Drosophila melanogaster: one gene and its partners. The protein of the gene in region 4 interacts with the protein of the main gene of each other region in a pairwise test. Each region holds a gene or a part of one and is shown on either strand. Other genes may lie near its edges.

What was found.
Region 1: the proteins of CG10444 (region 4) and to interact in a two-hybrid assay, tested with the Drosophila melanogaster proteins (one large-scale study listed by BioGRID).
Region 2: the proteins of CG10444 (region 4) and CG10953 interact in a two-hybrid assay, tested with the Drosophila melanogaster proteins (one large-scale study listed by BioGRID).
Region 3: the proteins of CG10444 (region 4) and CG13460 interact in a two-hybrid assay, tested with the Drosophila melanogaster proteins (one large-scale study listed by BioGRID).

The regions. Positions count from the first base shown.
Region 1 is NT_033777.3:25,238,342-25,242,181, forward strand, and holds to (takeout), read left to right. Parts: upstream 1-1,838; 5' UTR 1,839-1,848; coding exon 1,849-1,909; intron 1,910-2,024; coding exon 2,025-2,265; intron 2,266-2,332; coding exon 2,333-2,472; intron 2,473-2,526; coding exon 2,527-2,834; 3' UTR 2,835-3,327; downstream 3,328-3,840. Other genes in the region: Jhbp7 (juvenile hormone binding protein 7), read left to right, coding at 1-104, 160-361; CG11854 (uncharacterized protein), read left to right, coding at 3,717-3,786.
Region 2 is NT_033778.4:17,164,554-17,168,487, forward strand, and holds CG10953 (uncharacterized protein), read right to left. Parts: upstream 2,091-3,934; 5' UTR 1,903-2,090; coding exon 1,900-1,902; intron 1,829-1,899; coding exon 995-1,828; 3' UTR 531-994; downstream 1-530.
Region 3 is NT_037436.4:15,060,462-15,063,371, reverse strand, and holds CG13460 (uncharacterized protein), read left to right. Parts: upstream 1-1,666; 5' UTR 1,667-1,695; coding exon 1,696-2,304; 3' UTR 2,305-2,343; downstream 2,344-2,910.
Region 4 is NT_033778.4:20,271,086-20,276,104, reverse strand, and holds CG10444 (uncharacterized protein), read left to right. Parts: upstream 1-1,605; 5' UTR 1,606-1,866; coding exon 1,867-2,848; intron 2,849-2,905; coding exon 2,906-3,687; 3' UTR 3,688-4,452; downstream 4,453-5,019. Other genes in the region: CG11788 (uncharacterized protein), read right to left, coding at 20-119, 178-1,317, 1,377-1,414.

The DNA of each region.
Region 1 (3,840 bases), on a different chromosome or scaffold from region 4:
CACAATCCCAAGTTTTCGGTGAAATTCAAGCCGGGCACACAGCAGCGCAATGGACGCACCTACCTGAGCGTGGATAAGCTCAAGGTTCTGGTGGAGCCACAAAAGTAGGTGCAGTTCGGATTTTAGCTGAGATATACTAACATATTTGTGTTCCCACAGGATGAACATTCGGCTGGAGAACCTCTTTAATGGCGACCAGGCATTGGGCACCAATCTGAATCAGTTCCTCAACGACAACTGGACGGAGGTGTGGAACGAGCTGCATCCCTCCATTCATGTGGCCATCGCCGAGATCATGAAGAGCGTTCTCTCGCAGCTCTTCAAGCGCTTCGCCTACGAGGATTTATTCCTCGAGAACTGAGCACTAGTCGTCCTAGTCGCCATCAGGCGCCCTAGGACTTTAGGCTAAGTGTACGAGTATTTCCTCACCTATCCAAGCTATTCTCACTCACATGGGGCGTTGCATTCCGGCATTCCGGCCATTGACACATCATCATCGTATCATCGTATCTGCTAAGCTAAGCTTTAACTTGTAGAATAAACAAAAACATTCGAAAAAAAACTGGTTCTGCTTCTGCGGGGGGCCATTGTTAGCTAAAACGTGGATCTCACTATTTCCGCACAAGTGTCGCATACACTTTTTGTTTCATTTTTGGCCAGCAATCAGCAATCAACAGGCAGCTCACGTGATGGAACGATTGATTCGAAATTTGCATGACAAAGGCATTATTGCTAAGGTGACTATACTTGTGGATAAAAGCGTAGTTATACATACGCTTAAAGTATTAAAACATCCAACAAATTGAAATAAACACCTTAATTATTATGAGCAAATACTTTGTGTCTTAAAAAAGACGAAGATGCATGCTCCTACTACTACTCCTACATCCTGTGCAACTAATTTAGCCCAAAGTGCACTAAAATTAGTATATGATATGATGATATGATATATGACTAAGATCTGCTTGTCTTAGAATCAAGAACTAACTAAATGGCAGTGCTATTAATCTGAACACAACTGTGCTGTCACTCATTGCGAACTCATTTCACTGTCCAAGTTCAAGAGTAGCCAACGGTATAGCTGCCATCCCGATCCCAGGGAATCGGACACCCAGTTGGCCTTGGGTCAGTGAAAATCTTCCACGAGCGAGCAATCAACTGCAGCGATTCCGAGCGAAACAAGTTGCTTTTGTTCTCCACGGGGGCTGGACTTTAAAGCGGGACACTTGGTCATTAAGTTAACCCAAAGTCTAGGACCTGTTCCGAGCTACTACTCCACCGCTACTCCTCCACTGCCCTTCACTTCGATTCGCAAGAACTAAAGCCAACTAAAGAACTGGTGGTCACGATGACTGCGTTGTTTTCGCATCTCAATTCGGCTATATTTGGAACTGGCCCTTTTGTGAGTTGCACACTTGCCAGTTAACTTTGTTAAGGGAGAACTTAATACCATGACTTTTAATTGGACATAATCTGTCTGATACTTAAATTCATTGAGCGGATTTTCGATGTAACTGATTGATGAAGATTAAGGTGAATAAGAAGATTTGCTACATGATCTACTTGCTGTCTAAAGTGCACCCAAATGAGGTGATAAACTAAGGCTTGTATTGAAATTAGAACAACGTTTTCTTACCTAATACCATCAGATGATTCAGTTGCTATTCGTTATTAGTTGATGATTCTGAAACGAGCTCTGGAATTGACAGACAGACGGTTACGGCACAGATAAGAGCTATATCAAAGGTTGCCATTAGACGTTATTTGAGTTGCACTTAGTGGACCACTATAAATACTAGGCGAAAATCCCGTTCGTATTCAGTAACTTAAAGTTATAGACGTGTTAGCATGTTCGCAATCGCATTCGCAGTGGTTTTGTGCCTTTTGGTCTCGGTGGATGCCAAATTCCGTAAGAGAAAGTCCTTTAAAACAAGACCTTGCCAATGAAGTAATAATCTGGGAAACCTAGATAGACACCTACCTCTACTTTTCGGTTCCAAAATAATCCTTTGTGTTCCTCACAGCCGAAGATCCAAAACCTTGTAAGTATGGTGATGGCGAATGTATCATGAAGCTGTGCAACACCCTGTTCAGCGAAAACTCGGCGGAGGGGGATCCTGGTCTGAACCTGATGCAGCTGGATCCGTTGAAGGTGGATCGGATGGTTATTAGCCAGGGTGAGAGCTCCAGTCCCGTGGGCATAACTCTAACCTTCACCGACAATCTGTTGTATGGGATCAAGGACCAAAGGATCGTCAAAGTAAAGTGGGTGCAGGAACAACACTTTGTTTGGATGAGAAGGATGTGATTCAACTTGCCTTGATCTTTGCAGGGGTTTCGGAAGGGATCTCACCGCCAAGCACGAAGTGAAAATTGTCACGAAAACCTTCTCACTCGTTGGACCCTATAACATCCAGGGCAAGGTACTCATTCTACCGATCAGCGGAACTGGACAGAGTAACATGACAATGGGTAAGCTATGCCAATTGATTTTTCAGATTTCGAGGAACTAAAAATCCTGTCCAGTTAACGTCAGGGCAATCGTCAGCTTCTCGGGCAAACCGCTGGTGAAGAATGGGGAGACCTACCTGGACGTTACCGATCTGAAAATAACGATGAAGCCGGAGTCCAGCCACTACCATTTCAGTAATCTGTTCAATGGGGACAAGGCGCTGGGTGACAACATGAATGTCTTCCTCAACGAAAACTCGGAGGCCATTTACAAGGAGACGGCCAAAGCAATCGACCGATCCTTTGGCAAACTTTACCTGGGCGTCGTCAAAGGTGTGTTCTCCAAACTGCCGTATGCCAAGTTTTTTGCGGATGAATCGTGAGTTAGCTCTTCAAAGTGGGCAGAGTCCACATAAAGATACTAGATCATGTTGTTTGCGTACTGACAGATCTAAGTTTTGAGGCTAGCAATCATCATTAGGTTTAATGGAGTTCGTGTTTCGCGTTTGAAAGTGAGAACACAAGTAACTACTATTAAGCCATCTCAGCTAAATAATCTGTAAGTGTTGTGTGGCAATAAAAGTTACATATATGTAGTTAGCACATTGTAAATTATTTATAAGTGATACAAAGAATTCTGTAAAATACCATAAAAACATTTAAAACTATGACCCATTATTAATTAAGTTACAGTGAGTGGAACCCTATAGATCAGGTTGATCCAAAAGATGAAGGACCGCCTGAAAGTATGTGTTATTCGCGCGCGGAGATTCCGAAAGGCAGGGAATATCTGTAACTGGAAAAGGCAGTTACATTAAAAAAAAGCTTGATAAACAATCTTTGTTGACTTAGCCATTAATTAGACGTTGAAACGGGAATTAATGTGCGTTTTGGGGAAGGCCGATCCAATTTGCATATATCGAGCAAATTGCACCCAAAACGCGATTAGGAGCGATTGAATGGGACGGGGTCGATGTCTGGCTTGGGAGTTGGGAACTTGGGAGTTCATTAAAGGGAATCGTAAAATGAATTCGCCGGCTATAACCAGCCACTTTGCCATACAGCCAGCCTGCCGGTTTCGGTTTATAATCCATTTAACTGACTCAACTGCCAAACGGTCTAAAGTCAAATTCTGTGCGGCTGAAACGCAAAAGCGGTTTACGGCAACAAAAACATGATACATTTCAATTGACGAAAGTGACTATATAAGTGTTAACGCCCGCGGCTAATGGATCAGTACTCGATTACGTTCGCCGCCAGCAATTATGGAGCTAACTCTCGCCCTCGTCCTGCTGTTCGGATGTGCGTCCACCTACGGACACGCCTCCGATTTCCGTGAGTTGCACACACCCCCTTTCCGTAATATATAATGTTTATGTATATTTCACA
Region 2 (3,934 bases), 3.1 Mb from region 4:
CTGCGGTTGTCCCGGAATTCAGACTAGAAAGTGGTGGATTCGGGGACACACAGTCTCCGCCATTCAGCCAGACATTTCCCTAATCAAATTGGTGAGAGAAAAAGATTCGTAGACAGTTGTCGCTGCATTTTCTTGTTAATTTTCCGCAGCGTCTATCGTCTGTCGATGTCCTTCTTCCTGGAGCGCCTTCGATTTCATCCTGCCACTTGTTAGCAGCCACAAGTGGTCAGTGGTCGTCTGATGAGGCCAATCCACTCGGCACCATCTACATTCCGAGCTCCAGCTTCACCATCATCGATTTCGTGTGGGTGCACCGATAAAAATATTACTCAAATCATCGTATAAACAACAATTAGTTGTAGACGCACGTAATTCTATTAATATTTTTAAATCAAGAAAAAAAAAAAAACAATTAGAGAACAGTTTTTTTTTAAGAAATTTCTAATATAAAATTTATTTAACCTCATTCTTGTGTCCTCGGATATATATATATATATATATATATATATATTTAATTATGTATAAAATAAATTTTCCGCTTTCTGAGTGCATCTAAAAACTTTTGAATCTAACGAGAAAAAATTTCCACATCATCAAAGCTCATTCCAGGCCATAAATTTCGTGATAAATGTGGAGCGGCGAGGACTGCGGAGTCCGCCATCGAATCGAATCCTTTGGGAGTGTTCCGCAACTTGCTTGCAACTCCTTATTATCCTCTGCTGCCCCATGCCCCATGCCTTACCGACACTATCTGTCCGATGGCAAGTTGATTCCACCAGTCTCGCCATCTCTTCGGGTTTCATAAATTTCCAACTCAAATGGCCAGAGCAAACTTAAGAGTTTCCCATTCTCCTGTTTCCCGTGTGATTTGCTATGATTGGAAAACAATTTGAAGACTTTTCTTTTTGTTTAACAAATTGAAGGCGGAAATTTTTTATTGCGAGTCCCCGTAGGGATTCGTTAGGAAACAGTTTTTCGTTGGGCTTTGGTAAGTTTAGAAACGGTGACGGTAGACGCGACGACGCACGGTCTTGTAGCGGTATCCATCATTGGAAGCGGGCTCGATCTCCTCCAGAACCTGAGTGTTGGTTGGCTGGTAGACGGGAGCGGGAGCTGGTTGGTAAACTGGGGCAGGGGCCGGGATGCTGATGGGAGCTGGCTGGTAAACGGGAGCCGGGGCTGGGATGCTGATTGGTGCAGGTGGCACATAGGACTTAACGGGAGCTGGGGCTGGGATCACAACTGGAGCGGGAGCAGGAGCAGGGATCACAACTGGTGCTGGAGCAGGGGCTGGGATCACAACGGGAGCGGGAGCAGGCTGGTAAACGGGAGCTGGAGCCGGGATGCTCACGGGAATGGGAGCAGGGGCTGGCTGGTAAACCGGAGCTGGTGCTGGTGCGGGGGGAATGTAGGTGTTCACTGGAGCTGGGGCAGGGATCTCAATTGGAGCCGGAGCTGGGATGCTGATGGGAGCAGGAGCTGGCTGGTAAACTGGGGCTGGGATCCTAATGGGAGCAGGAGCTGGCTGGTAAACTGGGGCTGGGATGCTGATGGGTGCGGGTGGGACGTACGTCTTCACGGGAGCTGGAGCCGGAATCACAACTGGAGCGGGAGCAGGAGCAGGGATCACAACTGGAGCTGGAGCAGGAGCAGGGATCACAACTGGTGCTGGAGCAGGCTGGTAGACCGGAGCGGGGGCGGGCTGGTAGACCGGAGCCGGGGCGGGCTGGTAAACCGGAGCTGGGGCCGGAGGAGAGTAGTCGTAACCCAAATGGGAGACATCACCATAGGCGCAGGCCAGAACGGCAAAGGCAACAACCAGGAATTTCTGAAAAGCCAAGCAAACCAAAGCGTTTAGAAATATAATCCTTGATCCTTCATCCATGTGGGTAAGCTCACCATGATGACAGCTGCAATCTGTTACTCCAAGAGCGATCGAGTAGCTTCTGTCTGAAGAGGCTCAATGGCTAACTATTTATACAAGACCGAGCCCAAAAACTTGAACTGAACCTCAGGCCGAACGCAGATCATCGTCAACATCTCATCTGAATATTCAGCGCAGATGAGATTTTTTACTGGTTTTGTTTTTGGGGGTCGTCAGAATGAAGAAGCGCTCGATGGATCCGGGCTTAATAGGTTTATTGGATCTAAGGAATGAAGATTGAGATGCTGATAGATAGATAGATAGATATATAGATAGATGGATGGATGGTCGGTCTTAAGCCGTGTTAGCTGGCAACACCAAAAGTGACTTTTAGATGACATTTATCTGCATGCAGACAGCTAACGGCATATTTTATGGGATCATCTTTGGTTTTATTGGGCAGCTGGATTAATTTAATTTAGGTAAGTCGTATTTTTGGCACAAGCGTCTGGTGTAGCCGGAAATTTACAATAATCGTTTGAAACGAATGCAGACACAGAAACTGGTTGGGTTTTACGACTAGTTCGCCAAATGTTAGAAGCTATTGTTTTGGATTAGAGGAATCCGAAAGTATTCAGCGGTTTTGACGACGTTCTTGCAGGCCCCTTAATGGAATCTTTTGTCTAGACTCTGAAATGAGGCGCCCACAATCCAAACGGTTATGCAAATACATACTGTATGTTGTCAAAAAAACAAAGATACTTTTTTCTGAGTTCAATACTTTGGTTACCTAACGAACCCTTGGTGGCCAATTAATTACTTCAAACCAGTTGCTCACGATTATGGTCATAAAAATGGGTCTAGCTTACGTCTGAGTCTAAAATTATAAATTCGATCTCAAGGTTCCGCTATTTATGGTTTGGCGTTTCAAACAAATTTTCTCAGGAAAAGATTCAAATAACACATAATTATATGATCCACACCTCGTATAATTGTTTAGACCTCAAAGCGCATAATGCTCAAAATACCACTTCATTTTTAATTATGAATGCTTCATTACTTGGCGGCGGCTTAAATTATTTCCTATTCATCTTGATTCATGTTTCCATAACTCTTCTCCTTATTACCTAAATGGTGATAGTTTAATTTGTATCCCTAGCTAGTGGGCACTAGTTAATAATTTAATTTTCATTAAGGTCAAAAACTTCATGTACTACCATGTTATAATTGCTTTATGATTTGGACACCGGTTGCTGAATTATTCGGGGTGTTGTTTGGACTTCAAGTGCAAACTTGTTAATCACACTATTCATGGCCCGCATCTCGGCAAACATTTAAAAACTTGTTGTTAACTATCTGAGTTTAGTTTGGTCTACCAGGCGACCAAATCATTTTCTGCATTTGTTTATATTTCATGTATGTAAATGCCGATCGTATTAGACATGCTGGCCAGCTAGGTTTTTTGCTTAGCATTTGCATGGCAAATGGCTTCCGTTGTTGTTTTTACTTGGCCCGGTTTATGGTTGTGCATATCAGCAGATGTCGTTATAGGCGAATCTCAATTAAACCATTGTTTATTCACTCAAATATTCATCCACACTTCTGATAGCTGGCCATCATACCTGGTTTCGAAGCCAAGCCAAAATAAATAGTTACGTCAAACTAGACTTCCTAGACTTTGCGTGGTCTATTTTTGGCATGTGCAAACTACAATTTCGGGGATTTTTCAGTTTCGTTTCCCATAATTAAGATAGACTTGTTAAGTAGCCATGTAAAGGTCGTTTTATTAAATTAATTAAATTTACATATCCAAATATCAGCCGGTTTCGTGATACGCCAGTGGCAGTCTTTGTGTTAATAAGATTTACCGGGTTCTGCCAATAAATAACCTTTGCTTGTCGGAAGAGAAAATCTTCTAAATAATGTGATTTTTTCGATTTGAAAATATGAAAAACTACTTGGTAGCATCATCTGTATTCTGTGACGATAATGACAAATGTGAATAAATTTAAATCGATTTGATCCCACAATTCTGTGGGCGAAATAACCGGTTACGAACTTATTTTGATT
Region 3 (2,910 bases), on a different chromosome or scaffold from region 4:
GGCTTAAATTTCATCCTTCACGCTTCCCTGCCAGCACACAAGTTCATTATTGTTATTTCCCACTCCTCAGAACCCCCCCCTCCCCCTCCCACAGTGTGGTGCACTTGCTTTAAGTTTTTTAATTATGCTGCCTGGTTAAGTCCCCCGGTTTAATCCGTTTTAAAGGCGGCCATACATGGCGTATGCGTGATGGGATGGGGGAATTGCGAATTACTTGATGTCTGGCTAAAACACACAGAAAATTTATGACATTCTCAAAGAGGGTGTTTTACTTGCTCGTGGTTTATGAGTTTGTTATATCTATCTGTGCAAGTATAAATATAAATCGTAGTACAATTTTTTCGTACGAAGAAAATATGCAACTTCAGTAAAAATAAACCTAGCACGATAATCAAAGTTACAGGCAGTATTAAAAACATAAGATGCAAGTTTAATTTAATATTTCCTTATTGATTTATATTGTTTGCTATTGCTTTATTTATTTGGTGAACCATTTTTCGACTGCATTGCGAAGCACTTGCAATCAACCTAATTGAAACTCCAATTTGAAAATGGGCATATGGAAACACTTGACACTCAACCATTCGTAATTTGGTTCGGAAACCGTTCTCGTTAATTTATAATTACCTACCTAATGAACAACTGATTCGATAAGCTTTTCAAATAGGCACTTAGTTGGTTCAAGCTGGCATAATTTATTAGAGTATTTCCATATATAAGCGTATTTCTAAATACCAATTTAGTTTACTTTAAACCTTCATCAGGATGAGATTTTTCATACTTTCGGTGCTGTTCGGGCTAGCTTTACTCGCTAACTTTACAGAAGCGGCAGCTAAACCAGATTGGATTACAGTGAGGGAATACACAGTCTCACTTGAAATAGATTAAACTAGTTAAGATGTGAAAATAACAACTTTCTTCAAATGTATGTGTGCACGAAAAGAAAGTCAATTTAATTGTTTAAACTCTCAGTTGGTCGTCTACGTATTTGCAAAAACTTTCAAACTGTCACCTGCAGTCGTGCATACAAAGTTGCAGTAGTAATCATACTAAAATGTTTAACTAAAACTGTGTGCCTTGGCTTGGAAATTACACTTAGTGTTACATTGTTTGGTTAGGAATATAAACTATAGTATACAATTCCTTCTTGTTTATATGGTTGAATAAAAAAACTTTGAGAATGCAAGCAAGTTATTAAGATGTAACTTGGATTTTGGTTTTAAAATCTATAATATTATAAATAAACAAAATATACAAGTTATTCTTTGGGGTTTGAAGCTTACAAGTATGTGGGGAACGAAAAATTTCTCAAATAATTTATTTAAGCTTACTTTTTCTACCATCGAAATTGAAACCCGGAATCGGAACTCAGAAGCAAGACTTTTTAATTGCCGTATTGTTTGAGACAATAGAACAGATGGGAAACATCAAGCTACCAAATTTTTGGCAAACCGCTAATGACAACTATTCAGCAAATCTGTTTTTCCGACCGCCGAGAACCCAACTAAGCAAATATGAAACTACGCAAAACGTGGTTAAATAATTTGCACGGATTCCCAGAAACGAATTTTAGTTGAATCAATATTTGAACTGATTAAATGAAAAGTAAATTATACCCGTAAAAGAGGTGCTCTATAAAATGGGGGAGCAATGGCCAATGGAAGTCAGTTGAAAGTGGTTGCTAGTTTGGAAAATATGCGTCTGTTCGTGGCTCTGGTTTGTGTCAGTTTGGTGGCAGTGTCATCTGCCCAGTTGTCACTGCGCGGAAGATTGGGACGCTCATCGAAGGTGGATTTGGCAGTGGAGACACCCACTTTGCTGGCCAAGACAGCCGGACTTGTGCCCACTGTGCTTGTGAAAAATGCCGGCATAGTGCCCACTGTGTTGGTAAAGAATGCAGCCCAAATCTTACCTGCCGTCAATGTTGCCGCCGATGTGGAAACGCCCAGCATCTTGCCCCAAGTGTCCAACAACATCTTGCCCTACTATCCCCGCTACTGGCCCGACTATGGATCCTATGGATCCTATGGCTATCCCGGCGGCTGGAACAGTCCCAGCTACTGGAATAATAACTACTACGACTATGGAGCACCCTATTTGCCCAGACGTCGTTTTGTTAAGCCCGTTGTGTCCCCTGCCGTGATCACTGCACCCACTTCCACTGGCTCCTCGTCCACCAGCAGCACTACTACCACTGTTTCTGGTGAGGATTCGCCATCTGTGACTACCGATGTCGTTCCCGATCAGTCGGACGCTTCCGAAAATCAGGTTGCTGAACCCGTGGTCACGACCCAGGTGATCTAAGGAGAGGTCTAAAAAATAATAATTAAATTTTATATATTGAGCAATTATTTTTTCATTAATAGAGAAAGTTGGGCGATTGTCAAAGGATCTTATTGCTAAATACCTTGATGTTACTATCAGTAATTTTCTCACAAATCTTGGATATCATTTTAGAGGGTACAACACATAAGTAGAAGACATTACCTATTTTTTTAATAAGTTAAAACCACTTTGGTATACCAACAGGAATTTATAGTTTGTATAATTAACACACAATTGTGATAGATTTGAAACTTAATCGATAATATCTATGATTCAGGATTTGTATCAAAGTTAATTATCAATTTATGGCCACTTTAGGCCTCGAACCAGAACGAGTACCCATCGGCTATCTTATCGCGGTTAGTCCTATATACTATATACTAAACGCTATTTGTCGCATTGAGTAGAGTGCAAACACTGAGCTTAGTGGGGCATTAAAGGTGCGAACTATCCGTTGTCGTGGCCAACCAGTTTTGACCAGCAGCAGAGCCAGAAAAAAAGCAACAGGCTAAGAGCCTGCCATATGGCGCAATATTGAAATATCCAATCAAAATGTTAATTCGAGGATAGAAGAAGAGACGAGAA
Region 4 (5,019 bases):
ATAGCCTTGGATGTTTCCATCAATGCTTTGAAACAAAGTATCGCACACCTCCATCGGTCAATGAGCGAGCGTGCTTGGCCAATAGTGTGGAAACGGACAAGTTTGGGGTGGTAAAGCACCTAGTTATAAAACCGAAAATCAAAAAAACAATCTAGATATGTGTTCATCATTACTTACTCTATGTACGGTTCCATTTCCTCCATCGTCCATCTCTTTTTAGTCTTAAATAGCGCCCGCATGCGATCGCTTATATTGGTGGGCAGTAACTCCTCTGCCAGGGAGCGTATGCAAGGCTGCGCTCCCTCCTTGTCGCAAATGCCCAGACCTCGTAGGTACTTTAAGTCGCAGGACATGCCCTCGGGCAGTACCTCCTGCCAGGTGCGCATGAACTCCTCGTTGCGAAAGCGCAAACCCGGCTGAAGAATGTTCTGTGCCACAATGCGGGAGACCAAGGACTCCTGGTACTCAAACTTGCCCGGGCAACGTTCACTGGGAATGGTATAGATATCAAACAGCCCAGCCACAACATCCTCTGGAGCTATGCCCTTCAGTGCATTGATGGTCTCCTCCCGTTCCACTTCGTCCAAGGCCCAGGAGTTTTCGCTTATCAAACCCAGCATCATGTTAATAATGCGATACTCGTATTCGTACTCCATCACGCGCATTCGCCCGTCCAGTTCTATGGCTCGATATTGGTTCAATCCCTCCATGAACTGACCGCGGCTGCACTGCACCGTGTCCAGGAGCTGCGAAAAGGTAAAGAGTAGCTTCTGCTCCACGCAGAACTCGTTCTCCGGCCCCGAATATCGAGTCAGCTGCAGTAGTTCACCCAGCTTGCGAAAGCGCGGCTTTATCTCGCGGCACTCGAAGTACTCGTGGAACACCTTGAGCACCGGCCGCTGCTCCAGAGTTCGCGGCACTTCCAGTTCATCCTCCGTGCTGTCATTGAGGCTGCGCTCCAGGGAGGCGTTGGCGTTGCCAGTGCGCGGACTCTTCAGCGGCGAGGTGCTGGTGGCGGCGGCAAACTTGAGGTCCGGTACCAGCAAAAGGCTATTGGATATTTCCGCGCCCTTCACGTCGTACGTTCGCTCATCGGTGCACAGCACCAGCTTCTCGTTCTGGCCACCCTTGAAATATAGCGTCTGGCCGTCGCGGATTTGTCCAAGCATGTGCCCATCGAGCTCCAGAAGGCGCAGATTGTCCGAATCCACGTCCGCCGAGGGAAAGTACAGAGCCTGGGTGAGTTGGGTCAACTGGCGCTCGTCCAGTTTCGCATGCTTCACAATGGCCTTCACATCCTCCGGCGTGCGAACGTAGCTATGGCGGGTGGTTGGGTAACATTATAACTCCTACGCAGGCATACCAAAGGCACTCACAGCTGGGCAGCAGACTCATCAACCTCCATGGATTCCATGTTCGCTGCATGTAAACAAAACAAAAAATTAACCAAAACAATGAGCGGGAAAAAGTAGTGGGACCAAAGCACAGCAATGTTGCTTTCGTTGAGGGTATTCAATGGCCTTTCAATATGTAAGCTTAATGTGCTTGGAAAACATTACAGCATTAATCCGCACACCCTGCAAGGGCACACTCACCGCTCAGCTGATCAGTTATTTAACGGTCGTAGCCTCGGCAAGAACGTTTCTTTTTTGAGCGGAGATTTCGCGAGCACGCGTCTTGTTTTCCGCCGTTCGCCGTGCACTTGGACGCGCACTTTAGAAAGCGTTGACTGCGCCAAAGGTCATTGCTGGGCAAGAGAAGCGTCCAATCGCCGCTGGTGGTGACGCTTGTGGAAAAATCAATTCGGACCAGTGACGGACGTCGAACTTCCAGTTCTCTGACAAGCGGAATCCAGTCAACAACAACATGCCCGTGGGAACGTTTGACGCCTGGGATGCGGCCGTGCTGATCACCATCCTGGTCATATCGGCTCTGATTGGCATCTACTACCGGTATACAGGCGGCAAGCAAAAGACCACACAGGAGTATCTGATGGCGGACCAGAGCATGACCACTTTTCCGGTCTCCTTCAGCCTGATGGCAAGCTTCATGTCCGCCATCTCACTGATGGGCGTCTCCAACGAGTCCTACGAATTTGGTACCATCTTCTGTGTGATCAACATTGCCTACGTGCTGAGTACGCCCATTGCCGCGTACTTCTTCCTTCCTGTTTTCTACAGGATGCGGACGACCAGTGTGTACGAGTATCTGGAGCGGCGCTTTGGCCAGGCCACCCGGCTGTCCGCCTCCCTGGCCTTCACCGTGCAAATGGTGCTTTACATGGGCATTGCACTCTATGCACCAGCGCTCGCTTTAGAAGCTGTAACCGGCATTCATCGGTCAATGGCCATCGTGGTCATTGGACTGGTGTGCACCTTCTATTCGACACTTGGCGGCCTGAAGGCGGTGCTCATCACGGATGTGTTTCAGTCCTTCCTCATGTTTGCCGCCATCTACGCCGTGATTGCCGTGTCGGCCATTAAAGCCGGCGGATTCGCGGCCATCTGGGATGTGGCTGTGGAGCGAGGACGCGTGAACTTCATTGAGTTTTCATTGGATCCCACCGTGAGGCATACTTGGTGGTCTCTGATCATTGGCGGCATGGTCACTTACCTCTCCTTGTATGGCGTTAATCAAACGCAAGTACAGCGACTCCTGAGTGTCCGCAATTTGAAGAGCGCTCAGTCGGCGCTTTGGTGGAACCTGCCCATCCTAGGAATGCTTAGTTTTAGCACCATTTTCAGTGGACTGTCCATATTCTACTATTATCGAGATTGTGACCCTTTGCTAAAGGGACGCATCGACAAGCGGGATCAGATCATGCCCCTTTTCGCACTGGAGACTATGGGTGAGTTGGAAAGACATCCAATAAGAATTAGCATTATTTGATTTCTTTTTCCGGCAGGTCAATATCCTGGACTGTGTGGTCTGTTCGTGTCCGGAATATTCTCCGCCAGTCTTTCCACGATTTCGTCGGCAGTTACCTCGCTGTCGGCTGTAACACTGGAGGATTACCTGAAGCCCTTGTACAAGGCGATATTTAAACGGACGCTAATTGACTCCAAGTCCACGATGCCCACCAAGATTGTGGCGTGCATTTTTGGCCTGCTTTGCATCGGTCTAGCTTTTGTCGCTGGCTCCATGGGCGGAGTTCTTCAGGCATCGCTTACCATTTTCGGTGTGGTAGGCGGTCCGCTGCTGGCCATTTTCACACTGGGAGTCTGCACTACACGCAGCAACCAAAGAGGCGTGCTGCTTGGCTTCCTCGTTTCCCTGATAGTTTCCTTCTGGATGGGATTCGGCGGACCCAAACCAAAGCCAGTTACCTTGGAGTTTAGCACAGCGGGCTGTGAGAATGCCACCGCGGTAATGGCGCGTGCCATCGAGCTCAGCTCAAAGAGCAGCGGAGTGGTCATCGAACCCGACTACTTCTGGTTATATCGAATTTCTTACTTGTGGCTGAGCGTCATCGGCTTTCTTATTGCCGTGGTCGTCGGCTATTTCAGCAGCATTGTGCTGGCTCACTGTGGAAAGGCAGAAAACGCGGAAATCTATTTGGACAAGTCTCGGAAGCAGCTGGACTACGATCTCTTCGCACCCATGCTGTCCCGCCGCTGGCGACGCCATAAAGAAGAACAAGACCAAACTGCCCAGGACGAAACGCTCACCAAACTAACTGAGCAGTAGTTCCGCCCGGCTTAGATTTAGTGTAGAATATATACATACATATAAAAGAATTTCCAGAAGGCGTCGGCTATTTGGTTAGTCGTGTTACGGATGTCGTACCTAAAAGTGCATAACTATGTGACCTTTTTGTATACCTGTGTGAACGAAACTGGCATACAGAGCGACCAAAACAGAGTCTTCCATATACACGTAAACAACGATAATTAGTAGTTATTAGTCGTGTTGCAAATGTTCACAAGCGCATCATTAAGAGGCCTCTTAAGAATAGTCAAATGTTTTTTACAAGAACGTATCAAAAGTAGGAGTCTACCTCAATGAACTTTTACAGAGGGACAATAATCAATTTGGAGCCTAAAAGCGAGTTGGCCGACTACTTTCCCATGTTGAGCATTGGCAGCCACAATGCCCCACATAAATTATTGATTTAGTAGTACATCTAATTTTAATGGGATATTTATATTCATACCTCTTAGTTACTCGATATTTGCATACATAGATAACATAATAACATTACAATAATACACTACAGTGAGCACCGCCTATAAATAGTTACTACATGGCTCTTAAAGCATTACATTGCGCCACAGTGTGAATTCTGTTTACTTATATACCTCTACTATATGTACACAAATATACTATAGACTAATTATATACTCGTGTCGTGTCGCAATCAACCATTGAACAATAACTCGGAGCAGTGAAAGTTATGTGTATTTGTAAAAGCCAAACTGCTGATCATTAAAGAAATCTGTTCTACAAAATGTGATTGCCTTTTTTTTTATTTGCTGCGGAAACATGATACTTGCAATCCCCAGCTGCAGCTTGGATTGAAATAATTACTTCGGTTGGCTCATGGGTGTTTTTCAGAAATCACGATTTGTCGAATACTTCCTGCGATAAGCAAATTCGTACGCTATCAGCTACCAAGGTTATGCGAGGCTCTCCCAACATTGCTCACTCGATGAGGAATCTATTTCGGAACGAATGCCATAACTTTCAAGCGTTTACCTTTGCCAATTGACTATTGCGCCATGCGGGAACAAAGTCTAATTGCGGGTCGGAGACAGCAAATTGCTTAAAATTGGAGAAGCCATGGGTCAGCATGTGAATATGGGTTCGCCTGTAAACAAATGCCAATTGATAGATTTGTCGAAACATCATTAATAAACCCAGACCACGCTCGTCTTGCTCATGGAAAGTTTTCAGAACGGATTGGGAGTTCAAAGTACGAATAGACTCGCATGACACACATTTTTGGCTAATGTTCTGGCGAAAGAGGAGACCAAAAGCGGTGGATAACATAGTTACGCCATAACCGATTTTTGTTTACTC